4 separate regions of the Mus musculus genome follow, and all the other regions are reported to be linked to region 3. Evidence: microRNA targets listed by miRTarBase, many of them from high-throughput screens and not tested one by one. Region 3 holds a microRNA gene; each other region holds the end of a gene's coding sequence.
What was found. Region 3 holds the annotated microRNA mmu-miR-374c-5p (AUAAUACAACCUGCUAAGUG, at 2,131-2,150, opposite strand). A microRNA usually pairs through its seed, bases 2 to 8, with sites in the 3' UTR of a target mRNA and lowers its output. Matches are read on the target gene's strand: a 7mer-m8 pairs with bases 2 to 8, a 7mer-A1 pairs with bases 2 to 7 and ends in A, and an 8mer does both.

Region 1 (5,002 bases), not on the chromosome of region 3:
GTCGCGGAGCATGGCAGGAGCGGCTCAAGGCCTCCATCGGTGGGTGCGCGGAGCGGGGTCTCCGCACAGAGGGGCTGGCCGAGCCTGGAGGGAGGACCGGGCCGCCCCTTCGCGGGGACCCACGCTCCCGCGGCCGAGACACCGCAGGCCTGCAGGGGGCTTCACGGCCGCGCGCCGAGCTCCGGGGGGACGCGCCCGGGCCGGCTCGGGGACAATGACCCGGGCTCCCCTCGCCGCCGCCCCCTCGCAGCCCGCGGGCAAACCCATTAGCCATTCAGGCCGACAAAGCCCCGCGGCCCGGCGCTTTGTCCCGCGGGGCCCTGGGCCGCTGTCATTAGCCCTGATTACGCTGAGCCGCCTGACAGCCCCGCCGGCCGCCCCGCGGACCCCAGTTCCCCGCCGCCCGCCTCACAATGGGAGCGGAAATCGGCCGCGCTGGGGTCCCGGCTGAATAGAGCGAGAAGCTGCGACTCCCCTCCACCCGCCCCATTCACCGGCTCTTCGGATACAATATTTTTTTTTTCCTTTTTGTGAAAAATTGGAGAGAGAGAACGAGGTCAGGGAAGACTTTGCTGGAGCTCTTTGCCTGTCATTTGTTTAATGTAAACAAAGAGCAAGCCCTTCCCCACCCCCAGCCTGGGCTCCCCTCCCCTCTTCCCTCCGGATTTTTATAAACAAACGGGTGTCGGGGTGGGGGGGGGGGGTCGCTGGGGTGGCGGCAGGATAGGTGGTTACAGTGGAGGCGAGAGGAGCCGAGCATTTGGAGAGATTTTGGGTAGTTGAAAATAGTGAGGCGCCAGAGACGAGCCAAGTTGAGGCTGAGGTTAAAAATCCCGGCTTGGGTCAGGTCTGTTGAAATGTAAAAACGGCTTCTTTCGTCTGTGCCGGATTAATTGCTTTTGAGGAAATTGTGACAAGCGAATCAGAAGAAAGAAAACCTGCTCTGTGGACAGTTCCCGCGATTCAGAGACTTTTATTGGAGCCTTTCCACTGCCTCGAATTTAACGCAGTCTAGGTCAGGATAAAATTGATATAAAAATGTAAAATCTTTATAACACATGTTTATGGGCTGATTCGGGTGATTGAGTAAATTGCTGTTTGAAGATCTGGGCTAATTTCCAACCTAGGGTCATTCCAAGTATTAGTCACAAAGCAATTACGTGTCATCAGATTTCAGGTAAACATACAAAAGCATTCTTCAAACAATGTTGGTGGCCCCAAGATTTCAACATGAAATCGGATGAATAAGTCTGCATGCTATTGAAGCATTATAACTACTTTAAACGTAATTCTTGGGCAGCTTGTTAATTTAAGGAAATAGTATATCTCCTTTAAAAACCTTCACTGTTTGGCCTTCTGCTTTTCCGTAAGTATCATTAAACATTGTTTTATACGGAGAAAGCTTAGTTCCTGCAGCCTTACTCTAATTCTGGAGAGGGTGGGTGTTTCCATCTGTTTCAGACATTTGAAACTGGCAAGTATGTTAGGATTTTTAGAATCTCAAATTCTTGTCCATCATTTTACTAATTAGTTCATTCTGTCTTTTCTGTTTGACCTGGGATCACAAAGATAAGAGATAAATTTTGCCAATAAATGTCTCCATTTTCTGGCTCTGGATCATTCATAGCTGAAATGAGTTTCGGATGGAGCTGGATTATAAGATTGAGAGCCATGAATTTTCCACTGAAGTGCAATCCTGCTAGGCTGATTCTAGCCTATTGTGAGGCGGGAGAACCTCGGGTGCAATTATGGTGTTGCTTTCTGAAACACTCTGTGTTTAAAAACAACAAAACAAAACCTCACTGTGTAGCCAAGGTTGGTCTGAAACTCACCTTGTAGACCAGGCTGACCCCAAACCTCCAGAGGTCTGCTAGTTAGAGTCACCACCACCAACCAAGGCACAAAATTAAGGAGATACTCAGTTTCAGGTCGCTAGGACATGTCACTCACATGACCAGGAAAGTGAACAATTTCTTAATATTTGCATTCTTGATGCCTTTTATTTTCCCCCTCTGGAGGCCCAAACTGCTCCTTGTCACCCAAAGAATCGACAGGGACTTTAGAAATCAAAAGATATAGCTTTACCATGGAAGGCTTTCTTGAGCCACTGAAGAGTATTTGTTTGACTTGGGAATTACCTGTTTGACCACAAAAGCTTCCTAAACCTGTCCATCTTTTGCTATGAGAGTTTCAATTTGCAACAATTTTCTAGCTATGGAACAAGTGGACTCAGTGATGACAATTTTAAAGCCCACAGTAGCCAACTCTGCTTAAGTGACATACAAACAAATATGTATACATGCATATATACATTCAAACACACACTCATACATACATACATACAAATGTACATATATACATACATGCATGCATACATACATACATACATACATACATACACGTAATACATCAGCCCTTTCTCACGTCCTGGGCTTCCAATAGCCACTTGACCACCTATTTTCTTTCATAACTCCAGTTTTCATTTGTTTGGTACTTTAACATTTTTTGCCTTCAGAAATTTTTAGCAGGTGAGAGGTGAATTAAAAGAACTCTAACTGGCTGAGATTTAAAGATCAATATTAAAATTTGTAATGTGCAATCCATTTCACTAGGCAAAGCAAAATCTTAGATAATATGGATATTATTTACGTTCTTAGTGCAAAAGTGGTAGAGTGTGTACGTGTGTGTATGTGTGCATGTGGTATATGTGTGTGTATGTACAAAGAACAATTACATGCTAAGAATATTTTATATTTTAATGAAGGCTAGTCCCAAGGCAACGAACTTCCTGATGAATTGTTTGCATGTTAAATGTAGAGCACTGATTTAGAAAATGCCTGTCATTTCTCTGTAGCATGCTTTCTGGTCAATATAAAGCCTGCATACTGTCTCCTATCTTAGTATTTCTCCTGGTGAAAATAATTTAGTTGACTAAAACCCATTTCTGAAGCAGGAAGATGCTAGCCTGGTTAGTATCAACCTCTCCTATCTTTTTAAATGGTCTTAATAAGACCTACAGCACTTAGTAAGTATTCTACCTGTGCTACATGCTTACCTTGAATGACCATAAGTTTCTGAGTGGGAGAGTACCTCAAACAAAATGGAAACACTTTTTAATCATAAAGCCCTCGTGTCTTGGCATTTTTGTAAAATACGATTCATTACCTGAGTCTAAAATTTGTCTTCTAAAATTGTTCTTGAAAATCACTAACACTTCATAAAAATGATTAGGTGGACAAACCATGATCACCTGTGTGGCGAATGTAGAGCGCTGCCATAGATGGCATGTTCATGTTCCAAATTCTGGGTTTAATATGGCAATGTGCATATGTTTATGTATACACATGCATACATTTTCATACAATCCGATGTGGCGGTTAGTTAGCGGTTTATCTGTGGCTGCTTAAAATATAAATATACTGAGATGTCAGAGGATATAGAGAAGTTGGAGAGACAATTTGAATAAGACTCCATGCTGCGTGCCCAGCAAAGGAAATAAGAGTGATTTTTAAAATCTGAGATAGCAGCTCTCTTAATTAAGAAAGGTTATCCACCAAGTTGTTTTATTATTTGGCTTCTTCACACAGAACGCGTGAGCTTGCTCATTCAAAACAGCAAGTTCCCCAAGCTACAGAGAAACCTATCATGGAAGTCTTTTAAATAAGTAAATAAACAGCATATATATGTTTTGTTTTGTTTTTTAAAAAAGAAACCTTCAAAGCAAAAGTTATACATATATATAACAGCGTCCTTTCGAAGTGAAATACCCGCAGGAGACTCAAGGGCAGGCTCTCAGAGTGCAGTTCTGTTCCAAAGGAGTCTTTGCAGCCAGATCCTTCAGGAAAAGCAATGCGAAGAGAAGTAGCATTGGGTCAGGCCTCACCGCATGCCCCAGAGTCGCGATGGATTCTCGCTTCTAGAGCCTTTAGGCCCGCGGGTCCCTGGCCACGGGGCTTCTGCCAGCGCCGTATTTGCTGGTCTTGTCCTCTCTCTTTCTCTCTCTTTTTTTATTTTGTGTATCTCATTTTTACACTGGATTCTAAGTGTGATGAGTGGGCAGCTCAGATGTCGCACTCACTGTCGCTGGATGTGATGGAGATGGCCGAAGTGGCCGCCTTGCTCGACAGACTGGCAGCCGGGCTGGAGGCGACGCCCAACACCTCAGGCGTTCCCTCACCCTCCGAGCGTAGCACCCGCCCGGGGCCCTGCGACAGAACCTGCTGCTGGAGTCTGGAGGGTTGGGGAGAAAGGGACACTGGTCACAGCAAGAAATCAAGCCGCCACATTGTACCCCTTTTCTCCGACCCGTCTACCTCCAGCTCCTTGTTAAGACTCTTATTCAGACCTTGACAAGCTGGGGAAGGTGAAGTGACCGGGTTTGGACCGATGCACCACAGCTCTTTCGCGGAATCCTGCCGTTGCCCCTCTCTGTCTGTCTGTATGTCTGTCTCCTTGTTTCTCAGCTCACTATGAATTCCGCCTTAGCCTCCCCAGATCTTTCTCATTTGTCACCCAAATGTTGGGAGATTTACTGGAGGATTGTCAGAAATCCTCCAGCGCAAAGCGGGACAGATAAGGCTTCAGGATACGAGATTCCTTTTCTAATACTACATCTCCCTATGGGTCATGCCTGAGGCTAGAGGATGCTTGAAGAGTTTGGGCCTGAGTTGCAAGCTCCAAAAGCTGGCGAATGAAAAGCATAGGCCGACTAGCTTGCTGGGTGGAGACAGGATAGTTGTCATGAGGAAACACGTCTTTCTGCCTCTTAGAATCTGAGACTCTCTGAAAACTGAAACCTTTTTCAGAGCATCAGGGAAGGATGCAGCCGGGATTTAAAAATAGAGCTAACTAAATAGGCTTCACTTGATGAGAGCCTGGGTCCATGCTAGTAAAAATTAGCTTTGGGCCTCTGGATTTCTGATTGATCCTGGGCTTTTAATCTTTCTCCCTCCCTCCGCCCCCGTTTCCCTAACTACAGCGACATTTTAGTTTGGTGACCCAC
Region 2 (5,002 bases), not on the chromosome of region 3:
ATGTGGGTGAGGCTACAATGCCTGGCGCAGTAGGGAACGCCCTGAGGTCTGAGCTTCCCAACCTCCTCCTTGGCGCACCTCGGTTATTATCGGTCTGATGCCCCCAGCTGGAAGTGGAAGTTGAGAACAATCCTCACCCTGTAGCTCTACTGGGGTACCCACAACATGAGGTACTCTAGCCTATAGGGCCAACCCAACTCTCTCCAACAATACATCCGCATCAAGGATGCCACTAGACAGAGTGACCACGGGCTCTAGACCAGGCTTCAGGCCAGAGGTGCCCTCATCATCTCTACCCAGGAAGGGCCCCAGGATCCTTGCTGGAGAGGGCTTTGTGCTCCGTGGGGATCCTGGGCCAAAGGAGAGGGACACTTTTCATCTGGCATTTGTAAGATCCCAGCAGAGGAGTCAGCAAAACACGGGAGTTGTGAGGAGTCACATAGATGTGGAAGTCAAGGCCCTCCCCAGGCCTGCAGTTCCTTCATCTTTACTAGGTGGGAGCTAGACCGGCTCACTCTCGGTCTCTCACGCAGTGCTGAGTGATCCCAGCAAGCTCCTGGCTGTGAGCATCCATGGAAGGGAAAAAGGGAGAGGAGAGCAGAGTATGGGGTCTTACCTGTGCGTCTAGCCAAGGTTGGGTAGTGCAGGGCCACCCTAAGGCTCCACTCCATTAGGTAGCAGCAGGATCTGACGGCCGGGCCTCACCATTCACTGTTGTCTCTGCTGTCCCTGGCTCGGCACTGGCCCTGTGCACCAGCTGACCTGAAACCTAATTCTGAGAAGCTAGTTGACAGTCTGATCACTTGACAAGAGGCAGGCTGCGGGGAGGGGACCAGTGAGTTCCAGATCTGGTTTAGCTTCCGTGACCTGGGGCTCTTTAATGTGGCTCCTTTGAGCTTTCAAGAGGAGAGCTACCTTGGTGGCCAGGAGGTGTGTGACAGCATTTGTCACCTTTGAGAGCCCAAAGGACAAGGTCTCTTAGGACAGGGGCTCTCCAGGATCCTATACAATGGTTACAGGTGTCACTTCTTAGAGGCCTGACATTCTCAAGAGGGGAGAGGAGAAGACGGGGCAGAGAAGGTAGAGGACATCTTGGTGCCAAGATATGCTTGATATTTCAGGCACAGCGCTTCTATTTCCCACATCTCTAGGAAGCAGGATCCTAAATTTAAAAACAAAGGACAACAGATGTATTGTACACAGCATGTGATTTGCCCACATAGAGCACACAATAGTGTTTAGTACAGTCTGGTTGATCAACTACTACATGCTAGTTCAGAACACTTTCATCATGGCTCAAAGACAAAAACAGAACAAGTCACCCCCTTTCCCTTCCCCCAGCTTCAGGCAACCACTCGTCTTTATTCTGCTTCTTAATTTGCTTGTTCTAGATGCTTTGTTTGAGTAGGATTATATAGAATGTATAGCCTCTTGTGGCTGGTTTCTTTCACAGTGGTGTTAACACACTGCACTGTACCGGTAGACACTGACGTACTGTGTAGAGCCCTCATGTGTCAATGCTTACTTTACACAGAAAACTGACTGTCAAGGACAGACAGCTAGGTCACTGCAGGCCTGACTTGCCTGTAACCTATACCACACTTTGGGTCTATCAGCTGCAATCCTGATTCCTCATGACATGGACATGCTGGGACCGGAGATGGGGCAGGGTGAGCAGAATCCCTTGCAGCAACCACCGTAGGCTGGTCCATCTGCAGGCGCTGAGGTTAAAGACTGGGTGGGCACAGCTGAAGTTGGGAGCCAGGTGGCATAGAAGGGAAACTAAAAGGAGAGGGGAGAGGAGATAAGTAGGACAGAGAAGGTAGAGGACATTTTGGAACTTGAGCGCAGCGCCATGGCAGGGTGGGTGCTGTGACATCTAGACTGTCTATCCTGTTTCTTGGACCAGGACCTGCTCACTGCTTTGAGCTCAGTCTGGAACTATTAATCTGGACATGGGCAGGACTGTGGGAACCATGTGGGGGCTGGGGCTACAAGTAGAAGTCAAACTAGAGGCAGCAGGTTCTGGAGAAACCCAGAGGGAGGAGAGCTCAGGCCTAGCTAGAGTCAAACCTCTGCTGGGAGTTTTAAGGTTGGCTGCTACAGTCTCTGGGTCACCAGAAATACTTTCCAGGCATCTGTGGAGGGCATGCATAAGGAAGTCAGGGTTCATTCTGGTTGTGGTGACAAATGTGTTGTACAACTTGGCAAGTCAAGTTGCCTCAGAGCTATCACTGGGAGAGACTGGTAAATAACAAATTGGGCATGTCGTCTGTGTCTCAGACCTTCACCTTGTCTGCAGCCCGTGCCCTCCTGTGGCCCTGTTCTCACTTGACTCCTTCAGGTTATTTACAGGATCAGGATTTGGCAGTGATCTTCTTCACCCTAGGCTTTACCCCTTAGGCTTGGAACCTAGAGGTTTCTTACCCCGAGGGACGTGGAACTCCAGGTACTGGAAGCTCTGTTCTGGCCGAGGGCAAGGCCTGGGGCAAGGGGAGCCCCTGGCTAGGGACTGGGCAGGTTTGCAAGGTGACACTCAAGGAGCAGAGATCTGAGGGGCAGGTTTGGCTGAAGGTTCATGGCCCTTATGGGAGGCTGGAGTGCTCTGCGTTCTGGGTAGCCAGTGAGCTTGCCTCTAATTCACCCCGGTGCTTAGGAAGAGTGGGAAGGGCTGACATTTCTCAAGCTTCCATTATGTGCCAAATGCCAGCGAAGCATTTTCAGAAATGTCCCATTTGATCTTCACAGCGACCATACGAAGCCAGAGTCTACGTGTCTGTGCCTTCCAGATGAGGCCAGAGCCACAGTCTCAGCCAGGCTGGACACTGATATGGTCCAGAACATTCTCTGGTTCTCTTTGCAGCTGTCCATGACCTGGTCTATACCATTCTCTGGGCTTTACCCCAGTACGGGTTTCTTCCAGAAATCCCTCCCTGGATTTAGCAGCCTGAGACCGCCCGAATTCAGGGCGTTTACTGCCTGTATCCTGCTTTGGTCTGAGTCCTTATCTCTGGGGTATGTCTTCGGTCCTGATGCACTTTGTACCGATACAGAAGCAATGCATCCGACTTCCATGGTGTTGAGTGTAATTGTGGGAGGGGCATCATAGAGTTGTGAGGATTTAGAGAAATGACACACAGGGTGACAAGCAGGGCCCTCAGGTAGCTCCTTTCAGCCTCACTACCAGCTGGCACTGGACATCTATGTCCCTTCAGAGTTATCCTCAGAGGGCTTTGTCTATGGTAGCTGCCCAAGTGGCTGTGCTCTGACAGAAGTGCCCTCCTGAGTCACACCGGGGACCAGATCCTAGTTGGACTTTCACTGTGCTGAGCAAGATTTAAAGGGCCATCAGAGGAAAAGACAAACCAAGCAAGCAAGCAAAAGCCCAAACCACCAGAAGTGGAACACTAGCATCCCTCTAACATGGGTCAATCTGACACTTGGAAGAACTAGCAAGTCTCATGGCGACTCATGTTGCAGGTGGTGGAGTGATGGCTGTATCCTTCTTTCTGCAACACCTTTTCCCAGTGACCAACCCAAAAAACACTTGTACACAAATACAAATGCCAGACTTTTATTAAAAACAAAGGCAAGAGCAATGAATTTCAGAGCTGAGTAGAAACAAACATTATGTTAAAAACATGGTTAAATTTCAGACAACCGAATACAGTTTTAAAGGAGGCAATTCCCCTGTTCTATTGATTAATACATCATAAAAATAATTTATATCTATAAAATACCTCATTCCCAAACAAACAAGCTGGACAGGGCTCTGGAATTTTCTCAGCTATGTACATACTTATTCCATGTTTCTTCCAATATTTATGGCAAAAATAGCCTGTCCTATTTAAGCAGAAGGTGGGCTCTGGTCAGCAGTAGGCTGTGTCAAGGACACTGGTTTCTCTGCTCAGAGAGGCCTCCTTAGGCCCCACAGTCAGAAGATGGGTGGGACACTTGGGTGCTTGAGTCTCACTTCCAGCAGTCACCTCATTACAGAAGGAAGCTGAGGTCCTGGTAGGCAGCTGCTAGGTGGTTTGGGACACTCCTCTGGTCTTAGCTGATTAGGTCTCAAGATACCCATGGAATAGGGTGATGCTAGTGGCCTGAGGATGCTGAGGGAAACAGGCCTGTTGTCTCTTGCAAGCTTTACAGAGCTGAGAGGCTGGCTGGTAGCCACGTCCCTCAGGTTTCCTCAGTCTTTTTGGAATACTGGGAAGAAAATATCCGTGCAATCCTGCGAGTCTCTTCCTCAGGAAGGTTGGGAGGGATGGAGTAAGGTCTGGGGCGACAAGGCCTCTGGGCAAGGGCTCCCCTGGTGGCTTCACTCTTGTCCTGGAGAGAAGGAAGTCATCTAGATTAGTCCTGAGGATACAGCATTGCAGAGGTGAGTCTGGTCCTTGGGCTAACATTTTCTCTAGGTCCCTGGTTTGCAAATACCTCATACACCCTGTCTTGTGGAACCCTGGCCATGACATCACAAGGTCAGGTGCACTTAGTTAGTTCAAGGTCGTGCAGCTCTGAGTGGCAGAGCTGAGGCAGGTGGAAATCCCACTTGAGCAGCTACCATAGACAAAGCCGTGTGCTCAGCCACTTTCCCCTTTTTGGTATCTTGTCAGGTTCCTGTGCTGAAGGGCTCAGATCTACATAGCAAAGTTGCCTGGTGGGCTGAGAATGAGGCCCCTAGGAAAGAGATGGAGGCCAGGCAGGAAGAGCCAGTGCAGAAAGAAACGGAGGCTGTCCCCACAGGCCGGTAGATCTTTCTTGTTCCCATGCTGACGGACCCTACTACACTGCTCCACCTCTCCAGCTTGTACCCCGTGAGCCTGCTAACAAGAAAGGTCAGGCCTGGCTAGAGAGGCTCAGGATGAGCACACTTAGAAATCCCATTATTCCTTTCTATAGAACAATACACGTCAACAGGAGGCAGAAATGACAGCAGATCCTGGCTTCACAGCTCAGAGTAAAACAGGCAAGACACAGTGACCTACCAAAAGAATGGGGT
Region 3 (5,002 bases):
GTTCTGGGAATTCAATGTAGAATAATTGAAAGTCAAGACTTTTCACACCTAAGTTCTACCCTAACCATCCTAAGAGACTTAACCAAGACTGCCAAGGGCCACGATTGTCTTATAAAGCCTAATTCCTACAATATTTTCTTACAGAGCTCCTGTTCTTATATAAAGCTTCTCTAGTTGCCAACATGACATCAGATGGCTGGTATCAGACTAATAAACAAGAATGTTCTGTATTGTAGGAGTAACCATGATAAAGTCTGCATCTACCTTCAAATCCACTGGCCACCCTCTTCGTTCTGACTTGGTATTTTCGTGCTATCTTCTGATATTTGGGCCTGAGGGATTTTTCATTGTTGATGTCTAACACAACAAAGATTTCTGTGTATCTTGTGTATAAGGACATTAATACTGTGAAATAGAATGGTTAATGTAAACAAAATCCTAAGACAGGGCTAGCATGTGACTGAGAACAGGCACCTGTGCTCTATGATAAGGCTAACCACTTGGTGTATGAGGTTCTGTGTGGCTGTGGTTACCTCGGACAGTATTTTCCATTTTTCTCCCTTGTCTAAGCCCCAGGGGCAAATATAAAGCAGGCCAGATTTCTAAAGGACCAGTCATGAAAACAATGATTATTAAATCAGCGTTGAAGTTCAGACACCAGGGTCCTTTCCTCAGGAGCTGGGTCAGTAAAAAGTCGTTTGAGGACGAACTGTGCAGTCCAGCCAGGCTCTGTCAGTTCCCTAGACTCTCTTGTGTGGTTTACCTTCTAAAAACTCAATTCCATCTCTCTATCATCCCAAACAGCGAATGGAAATTCTACATGAGTTGGATGTTTCGTGATACTAGAATGGTTTCTATCTGTGGTGGTGTAACATGCTAATCTTCATCCCTCTATAGTTTATCTTAAAAGATGAATTAGAGAACAGTGCAACTTTCTAATGAACATGTGCCCATGTCTATAATCCTAACAATTGTGAGGCAGCAGCAGGATTGCTACAAGATTGGGGTCTCCTTGATCTTTGTAGGTAGTTACTAGACAGCCAGGACTACCTAGCAAGAAACAAAGAAGGAAAACCACAAATCTCGTGCTTCTTAGAGTCCATGCCAAACCTCAAATCCTTTCACGACCACTCCAAGTTGTCTTCTTCATATGTCTGCCTGCTCCAGTGAAGAGATGGATCCTTTCATAGAAAGCTATTCTAGCAGGGTGTACATTCTGCCCTCTGTGGTGCTTTGAAGGAACACCGTGGCCCTACCTCATGTATTTGAACACTCATATCCCAGGTGGTGGCTACATTTGGGAATGTAATGGGACCTTTCAGAAGGAGAACCTTGCTTGAGGTGTGTCACTAGGGGCAAGACTGGGGTTTTCTACCCTGGTTCCACTTCCTGTTCTCACTTAGCTTACCACACTGAGGCCATGCCTGCTCTGTTACTATATCCTTCTGGAGCTATGAGCAGCAATAAAATTATAAATGGAGGTATGGGGAAAGCGGGTAAAGGAAAATGAATACCAACCATAACAGCACACCCCAGATTTTAAAGACGAAGCTCCTACTCAGTGATCACTGTAGTCCAACCTAGGGAGTAATCGGTAGCGATTATAGTAACAACAACAGAGATGCAACAATGACAAGCAGGCATTTCCAAAACACAGGCATAAATACAGTATTTCATAGAAAATATCACATTTATGGTACATGAGCTATTATCCCTTCCTTCCACACCCTCAGGATAGAAAAGAACCAGATATGGAATCCTTTTTATAAAACACAGTCGAGGCACAATTATCAATCAATTGGAATTGGTTTGAAAGGTAAAATATATCCACTATGATTATACTACACAGAACACAGGAATGAGCTGCAGAAATAAGGACGCTGCGGAGAGCTTGAACGTTGAAGGCCACTGGCAGGAACAAGCTGAGCCCATGGAGATCACAGAGCAGGCGCCCAATTAATGTCTGTTGATGATTCATTTTTTCATTCAACAAACATTTAATGAGGCCTACAATGTGCACCGGATTAGGCACTGTGAGTACAAAGTCACCATCCTTGCCCTTACGGATTAGTTTGATAGACGAGAGCCATAACCTCGGACAATGATAATACAACCTGCTAAGTGCTAGAACACTTAGCAGGTTGTATTATATCCACCCGAGTAGGATTTCTTCAGAGGAACACCACTCCAGGTTGCTGCGCGATCCATGAAGTTCTCCTGATCACCAAGGCCAGCTGTTGTTTCTTGCTCTCCAGGGATGACAGTCACAAGAACTAACATAGCTAGTTATCAGTTAGAATTCGGCTTCAGGTCAACTGTGACCATTCCCCAAACATCCTTTTCTGTGTTTATACAAAAACCTTTATTCAGCTATAACACAAGTTTTCAAAAGCTTTTAACTTAGAACAAAGAAGAAAGGCAATAGATTACTAATCAAGAGCATGAATGGAAGAATCATCGAGTTTCCTACATGGGCTAACTTCACATTAGTGAATCATTAAAAACGTCCATGATCCCTCCCCACAACACCATTGACCATTCAAAAGGTATAATAATAATTAACTTTCTTCTTTTAATTCTTGCATTGCCCGCTCCATCATTAACAGCAACAATAACTAAGATAGCATTGAGTGGACGCAATTAACAAACAGGCCAGCTAATGCCTATGCCCAAACCCTAGAGTCACTGTTTGCATGCACACTTCAGAGCTTCCTTTCCCAAATCTGAACCATTTACTTAAGTAAAATTGTCCTCATTATAAATGCATTATTTGAATAGTAAAGATCAATACGATAGGTCTGAGTAGAAAACATGTTCATAGATTTTGTTGTTTGTTTCAGTCAGGGACTTGTTATGAAACCCAGACTGGACTCAAAGTCAAGATGGTCTTCCTGTATAAGGACCCGAAATGCTGGGATTCTAGGCATGTGCCAACATGCCTTGCTTTATAATGCTTTGAGATCAGAAACCCTAGAGTGGATATTACACATATCTGATGCTTCAAAGTAAAGCAATGAACATTTCAAGTCTCTAAACACTTCAAAAGAAAAATAAAGTTCAGGAGAAAGCCTGCCAGTGACAAGAGACTATTCAGATGAGAATGATGGGGCACCGCTGCTATCTCCGTGTCTTACTGAGGATTGGCAGTTCCTAGATACGGCTCTTCTATGGAGAAGAAACTAAATGTATATCTAAGGAATGAGAGGATGGCAGCTATCCATGACAAAAAATTCCTTCCCTGTAAAACTCTCCTCCATATATCCTACCCCAAACCTCTTAGCGAGTAACTAGTCAGCCTGTAAGGTTTAATCTATATACCTGAATATCTCTCATCTTTGGGACTAATTCAATATCCTGACTACTGAGAGAACTGAATAATAATAATAATAAATGATTTGAACTGTGGACAAACATTTAGATCAACATGAAAAAGTGATCTGAGAGGGAAACAGACTCTTAAAAAACCCCTTGTAGCCCCGACAAAAGTTACTCATGAGTTAAAAGACATTTGTTGGCAGCATTATCAATAAATAATCTTAGCCTGGGGTTTAAGATTATAGGGTAATAAGCACCTTGAAATTGAAGACCCTTAAGGTGTATCTATATTCATAGTTAGAAGTTTAAAATGGACAGACAATCTGGTATAAATCGTCATGTCTCTGAGCCAAGTAGGAAGATGAACAGCAGCTCCAGTGTCTTGAGCCCAATTCTCATCCATACTCAACTAAACACAACCTTGCAGTATAACCCATTTTCTGGCAGTCCCTTAGACAAGGAGCAGAAAATACCTTTAAACGAATTCAAGGCCAATAAGGATGTCTGGATACAAATTTCTCCAACAATATGTTACTGAAAACTTAAGCCTTCAGAACCACTGATTAAAGTTTGCATAAAAGCTACATTACCTAACATAGTAAGAGACTATCAATCTTTCTTTCATTCCTTGTTTACCCTGTTGAGACAGGGTTGCTCGATGTAGCCCTGGCTGTTCAGGAACTGGCTTTGTAGACAAGGCTGGCCTTGGATCATTTCAAGGTAGACAAAGGGAATGTATCCTTGATGTGATTTTCCCATTTACAGATTATGTTTATAAAATACTGTTTGTAATTTTCATTGTCAGCTATTCCAAAAACAAAATGTAGAAGTGAATAATATTGCCTGTTTTTTTTGTGCTAGAGATTAAGCCCTTTGTAACACACATGTTGGGGACATGCTCTACCATGAGCAGGCAACAGGAACATCCTCCAAAATGCTCTATCCCACATACCCAGAGTTCCTGCGCTTGTTTTCTACATATATATTAGATATGCAAGGGTAGACTATAGTCTTCCTGGTGCACAGAATTTTTATGATTGTGCTTAGGTGTTAGATAATTGCCTTTAAAACCTCACTGGAATGCATCAGAAGGCTGTTGTGGTGATCATTAAATGGGAACATATCAAGTGGAGAAACAAAGTTTTACTAGAAAATGGGGACCATCAAAGCGGTTAAGGATTAAAGTTGATTTTCAAGATTAAGGTGTACAGGCCGGGGGTGGTGGTGCACGCCTTTAATCCCAGCACTCGGGAGGCAGAGGCAGGTGGATTTCTGAGTTCAAGGCCAGCCTGGTCTACAGAGTGAGTTCCAGGACAGCCAGGGCTATACAGAGAAACACTGTCTCGAAAAACAAAACAAAACAAAACAAAACAAAACAAAACAAAAAAAAACAAAAACCAAACAAACAAAAAAAAGATTAAGGTGTACAAGAGCAGGACTTGCCCAGCATGTGCAAGGTCCTGGGTTAAAGCCTAAGCACATTTAACCACAAAACACTCTAGGTAGAAGAAAGGGCTGCACGGAACTATGTATTCTCATCTCAAAGACGCTCAAATGGAAAATCTTCAGTATCAATTATCACAAAAAGACAATTATTGGTAAAATATAAGTTATAATCCAACATATATAGCAAATAACACTCGTAATAAGTCTTAAGCATTGTACAAAAAATTAAAGTGTCTTAGAA
Region 4 (5,002 bases), not on the chromosome of region 3:
GGTTCCAGATCCCAAGACTGGTGCTGGAGTTTATTAATACCCACCCCAGCCTTTTAGCTTTCCTGGTTAGCTTAGTTTTAAATAATAGTAGCCATGAAATTAAATGATGGCTTCAATTTGTTCCAGCAAATTCTCCATGCTGGACCATGTCCAGAGAAGGCCAAAGAAGAAGAGCTTTGCAGTCAGTGATTGGCGGCTCCTGTAGTGTGTGTTGACCCCTGGTTTTACCATAGCTATGGGCTGTTGGTTTTCTTGGAGGTAAGGGGCAGGTGTAGGGCTAGGGGAAACTAAATTTCACACAACTGAATGTTCTCACCAAGTCCCCAACTTTCTTTGTTTTATACATTCTTGAGAATTGCTACACATATTTTTGATTTCTAGAGTTCTAAACTGCTTTGGAACTCTTTTTATTTTATTTATTTATTTTTTGACAATTTCTCTTTGCTTTTATGGGGGAGAGAAAGTTTTTCCTTGCTTAGGAGGAAAATGACAGGTCTTTACTTGGTTGTTTGTGCTGAGACCACACTCTAAGATATATTTGAAAAGTACCTCAGCTGAAGCAGCCTCTGCTAGTTCACAGAAGAACACAAAGAAGCTACCCGCACAAAGCTGGATAAGTCAGTAAGAGAAGATTCCATGGGATCTAAGAACAGAAATCTGTGTTTTAGTGTCATCTTATTATCCCTACCTTATTTCTTGGCCTCTCTGTGCTCTTGACTTTAATTCAGGGTAAGTAGCCCTTGATCCCCTTCCCCTCTTCAGACACGGGCTTCCACATTGGCTACCCGACGCCTGCTTCTGGAGACTCCTCTGTTGAGTACCTGCCTTTGCAGTGGTTGCCCCAAAGCTGTAGTGAGACAGTGACATGGTTGCCTGAGACTGTGCTGTAAGCAGAACATGTGCGGATGAAGGTTTCCTTACTCCAGACTGGAGGAGATGGGTCAACCATAGTTCTTCATATATGGCGGATACTGTTTATATTGCAGACAGCAGTGACAGAAAAATTATGATCGATGCTTATTTTATTTCAGTGGAAGACACAATTCCATGAATCAGAAGACAACAAATGCCAAGAAAGGACCAGTTAAAAAGGTTCCAAGATCAAACCATCTTCCAAAACTCAACCCGTGACTCCAGAGCTGGGCAGACTTCTATTTTTTCCATCTTTTTCGTCATTCAGTGTCTTCAGTTTAGGAAGCTAATGTTCAATACATTCCTCAGGGGAGGAAATAGATGAGGGAGAGCGGCTTCTCTCACTCTTTCAAAAGTTGATTCTTCTGCCTGCATAAAAGTCATGGGTCTCCAGCAACCCTAAATATCCAGTACATGTGCTTATAGTTCTTACAATACCTTAGAAGGGACCCGAAGGTTGACATCCTTCTGGCACTCTCAGTAGAGTGTTTCTGATATTCTCTGATTGCACTTTTATGTTGTATTTGGTTTCTAAATTGACCATTAGTTAGAACTATATATTGTTTTATATATTATATATAATATCTCCACCTTTTTGTTATTTTAAATTGCATCATGCTCAGTTCAACTTTCTAAAATCAAGGTTTCAACATATTCCCAGATCACATGCATATGAAAGTTTCAGGAAAATATTATCAATAACTTCAGCCATGCACTGCATTGTTCTTGCCCCCATCCCCCCCCCCCCCGCCAGTAACCTTGAGGATTTAGGGTTATCCTATCACCTCATGTTTATTTCCTACATCTAGAAAAATGGCTGTGCTAAACTGTATAATTTATAAAATTTCTAGAAATTCAGTCACAGGGGTCTGCCACTGTGTATGTGGCATTAAAGTCATTTTGTGACATTTACTAATTCACAAAAATGGTCTAGTTTTTGGACCAAACTTTGCAGGAGTTTGGAATACTGGAGACTAGAAGGAAATAGAGGGAGAATAAGAAATTGTTTTTAGGACCTATGAACTTTATTGAATTTTATTCATGTTTAGGGTGTTTTGTGACTCGAATGTTTTTTCTAATTGTAGTAGAGATCAGGAAGATTCATATAACTTACCCATTTAAATGAGAGAAATTATTGGAATTTAAATTTCTTGTGCATGTTAAGCAAGTGGTGTTTTAACCTATATCTGATGAAAAAAGTCATTTGTTTCCTTTTATATGTAATGTGCCTTTTACACCTGAGGGGTTTATGTGTATGTATGTATGTGTGTATGTATGTATGTATGTATGTATGTATGTATTATGCATAATATGTACATGTATGTGTAGATAATAGAACCATAATGCTGCACTCATGAACTTGCAGTAGCTATGGTTGCCTGCACAAAACCTGCTCAAGATCAAGCTAGCCAACATTCCAGCTCCAGTGGCAGAGGGACACATGGGCCTCACCCCTAGCTGAGAAGCTGGTGACAGCAAGGTCTGCTAGGAGAGGGAGAGTCCGTCCTTTTAAGGGTGTGGTCCCTGGTAGGTTCAGAATGATCCAGTAGATGGCCCCACGGCTATGTATTTATGGACAGCACTAACTGGCTTCAATGGAATAGATGTGTGTGTGAATAAACATATATATGGATGTATATGTGTGTATGTATACACACGTATTTAAAGATATGCTGTTGGGAAGGGGTTATGGGATCTTGGAATTGGTGTGTGTATGAAATAAATACATTGTATACATGTGTGAAATTATCGAAGAATAAAATATTTTAATAAAATGGAATATTGACATGATAGGGCTTTAATGTACATATTTTCTCTTTCTTTATTTCTCTTCCAAGTTTGTTTCTAAAGACTGATTTTTCTCCTGGCTTTGGGTCTCCCATTCTGCTTCATATATCTATACAGTTTTTATTGGATGTTGAGTATCAATAATATCATATTGCAGATTGCAATATTCCTATGAGCATTTAAATTGCTTACAGTTCTATTTAACGCCTCAGACTTCCATTGGAGTGAGTAAACCTGCCAAGAGTGAGGTTGTTAAGATATAGCTAGCCTGAGGCCCCAGTGAAGTTACCGTGAATGACACAAAGGACACATAGCTCTGCTTGGCCCAGACCTGGATGCCTGGAGACCTGTAGGCACTCTGCTTCACCATTTTGCAATTTATGCCTTGGTGTCCTGTAGGGGCTCGTGGTATCCTGTGCAGACTTGGGGTTCTGTTTTTGGACAGGCCTTTGTGTTCACCATCAGCCTCTTCCACCAGCTTCTGTCTCCTCTAATGTGGGAAACGGACCTGTTACCATGGTACTTCCTTCTCTGAAGTCTGTGATGTGTATAGGGGAGGAGCTAAGGAGGCAACTGGACTTGCTGCCTTCTCAAGGATCCCCTCTTACACCTGCAAACAACTCTTTTATCTATTTTTATCTACCCTTCTATTTAGTCACAGTGAATGGCTAAATTTGGCTCTGCCACTCTTGCAAGGCCAGAACTGAAGAACACATTCACTTGATATTAAAACTATTTTTAAAGCAAAGAAAGAATATTAAAACACAAAGTATTAACAATCCATTTTGTTTCTTCAACCATTATATTTCTTTGAGTTGCACCTGGATAAAGGGGAGAGACAGGGCTTTGACTCTGTGCAAGTTCTGAAGAAAAACAAAAGTATTTGGTGATCAAACTAGTGGACTGTGGTCCAGATTGCTTTATGCTCAATGAACAGTCTCCTTTCTCGGAAGAATGCACCCGAGGCTCATGTTTCATGGACAGGAAGAACTTTGTTTACCAGTGCATAGGTCATAAACACTGAGCTGTTGTGTGTATTAGAAACACTGTCCAGGAGCACACCACAGGTACAGAATTGTATGAGATCCTATATCAAGCAGACATCCCCTTTTGTGCCTTCTCTCTGGTGGTCGTTGTATGTTTGTTTGTTTTTGTCTTTGTCTTGAGACTGTGTCATGTTATGTAGCTTAAAATTGGACACATCTAGGAAGAGGGAACCCCTGGTTGAACAGTCTCTATCAGATTATCTTGTTGGGAGTGTCTGCAGGGTACTTTCTGGATAGCCAGTTTGTAGATGTGGGCCTAGTCCACCATTGGTCATTGCCAAACCTAGGCAGTCCTGGGCTGTGTAAGGAATGTTGCTGAGCAAGCCAGAGAGCCACATCTCTTCATGGTCTCGACTTCAGGCTCTAGCCCCGGCTTCTCTCAATGGTAGCCTCTGACATGGGAATGTAAACTAAATAAACCCTCCCCTCTCCTAAATTTGTTAGTGTTCTATCATAGCAGAAGAAAAGTAAGCTAGAACTCCTAGCCAGAAACTTGCCATCCTCCTGCCTTAGCTTCTGAAGTGCTGGCACCAAAGACATGTACCACCATGCCAGACCAATAAGACATCTATGTCATTTCTAGGCCTGGCCTACAAAAGCACACAAGATCATCATTCTTGGTTGTGCCTCCTCCCCACCCTGATCTTCTTTGCTGGTTTTGGATATATTATAAGCACAACAACGGGTTTAATGTGCTTCTTTTCTATTTATATCCTCTGCTTCTGTGACTGATTTCCCCCCCCACATCCGCCCCTGATTTCTGATCTCATTTTCTGTCCACTATATCATTTTATGAATGTCATGCATTACATTGCTGTTGATAATTTTATTGGGCTTTATCCTTGCAAGCATTTAATGTCGATGCTGGGGATCAGGCTCAGGTCCTCAGGCAGGCAAGAACTTTCCGGACTGAGCCTTTTCTCCAGCCCCCTGCTACTATATAGATGGAATTATATTAGCCAAATAAATAAAATAAAACTGTATTACAGTGATTTAAAAAAGGGGTCTAAAGGTACCTTTTGACATCCACGTGTGTTTAGAGAATGAGCCATGGAAGTTCTGATTGCCTGAAGGATGGCTTAGCCCCCAGCACCTTCTTCAAATGTGAACTAGAAGATTGTGTGAAAAAAGAAATAAATACACCCTTTCCTCTCTGAGTTGCTTTTGGTGAATACTATGTATTACAGCAACAGAAAAGCAAACTAGAATACCTCGGGTTAACCTTAAACTGGTCATCCTCCTGCTTCAGTGTCTGA

Region 1: miRTarBase lists Six6 as a target of mmu-miR-374c-5p. Seed matches in the 3' UTR shown: 7mer-m8 at 2,403-2,409.
Region 2: miRTarBase lists C2cd3 as a target of mmu-miR-374c-5p. Seed matches in the 3' UTR shown: 8mer at 3,703-3,710.
Region 4: the mRNA of Ccdc169 is a reported target of mmu-miR-374c-5p. Seed matches in the 3' UTR shown: 7mer-m8 at 2,209-2,215.

The regions. Positions count from the first base shown.
Region 1 is chr12:72,940,855-72,945,856 of GRCm38, reverse strand. It overlaps Six6 (sine oculis-related homeobox 6), which reads right to left. Exons shown (of 2, transcript NM_011384.5): 2 at 958-4,230. The coding sequence ends at 4,062. Among named protein-coding and RNA genes, the nearest start is that of Six6, 3.5 kb to the right of the region's middle.
Region 2 is chr7:100,468,709-100,473,710 of GRCm38, reverse strand. C2cd3 (C2 calcium-dependent domain containing 3) reads right to left here. Exons shown (of 33, transcript NM_001017985.3): 33 at 3,552-4,332. The coding sequence ends at 4,183. Gm10603 (a long non-coding RNA gene) reads left to right here and starts at 4,331. Exons shown (of 2, transcript XR_001778233.2): 1 at 4,331-5,002. It overlaps Ucp3 (uncoupling protein 3 (mitochondrial, proton carrier)), which reads right to left and starts at 720. Exons shown (of 7, transcript NM_009464.3): 1 at 617-720.
Region 3 is chrX:103,570,982-103,575,983 of GRCm38, forward strand. Mir374b (microRNA 374b) reads right to left here and starts at 2,173; the gene lies at 2,079-2,173. The region is part of intron 9 of Ftx (Ftx transcript, Xist regulator (non-protein coding)); the gene reads right to left. Mir421 (microRNA 421) reads right to left here and starts at 2,015; the gene lies at 1,940-2,015. Mir374c (microRNA 374c) reads left to right here and starts at 2,104; the gene lies at 2,104-2,152.
Region 4 is chr3:55,170,234-55,175,235 of GRCm38, forward strand. Ccdc169 (coiled-coil domain containing 169) reads left to right here. Exons shown (of 8, transcript NM_177203.3): 8 at 1,032-2,703. The coding sequence ends at 1,131. Among named protein-coding and RNA genes, the nearest start is that of Sohlh2, 9.3 kb to the right of the region's middle.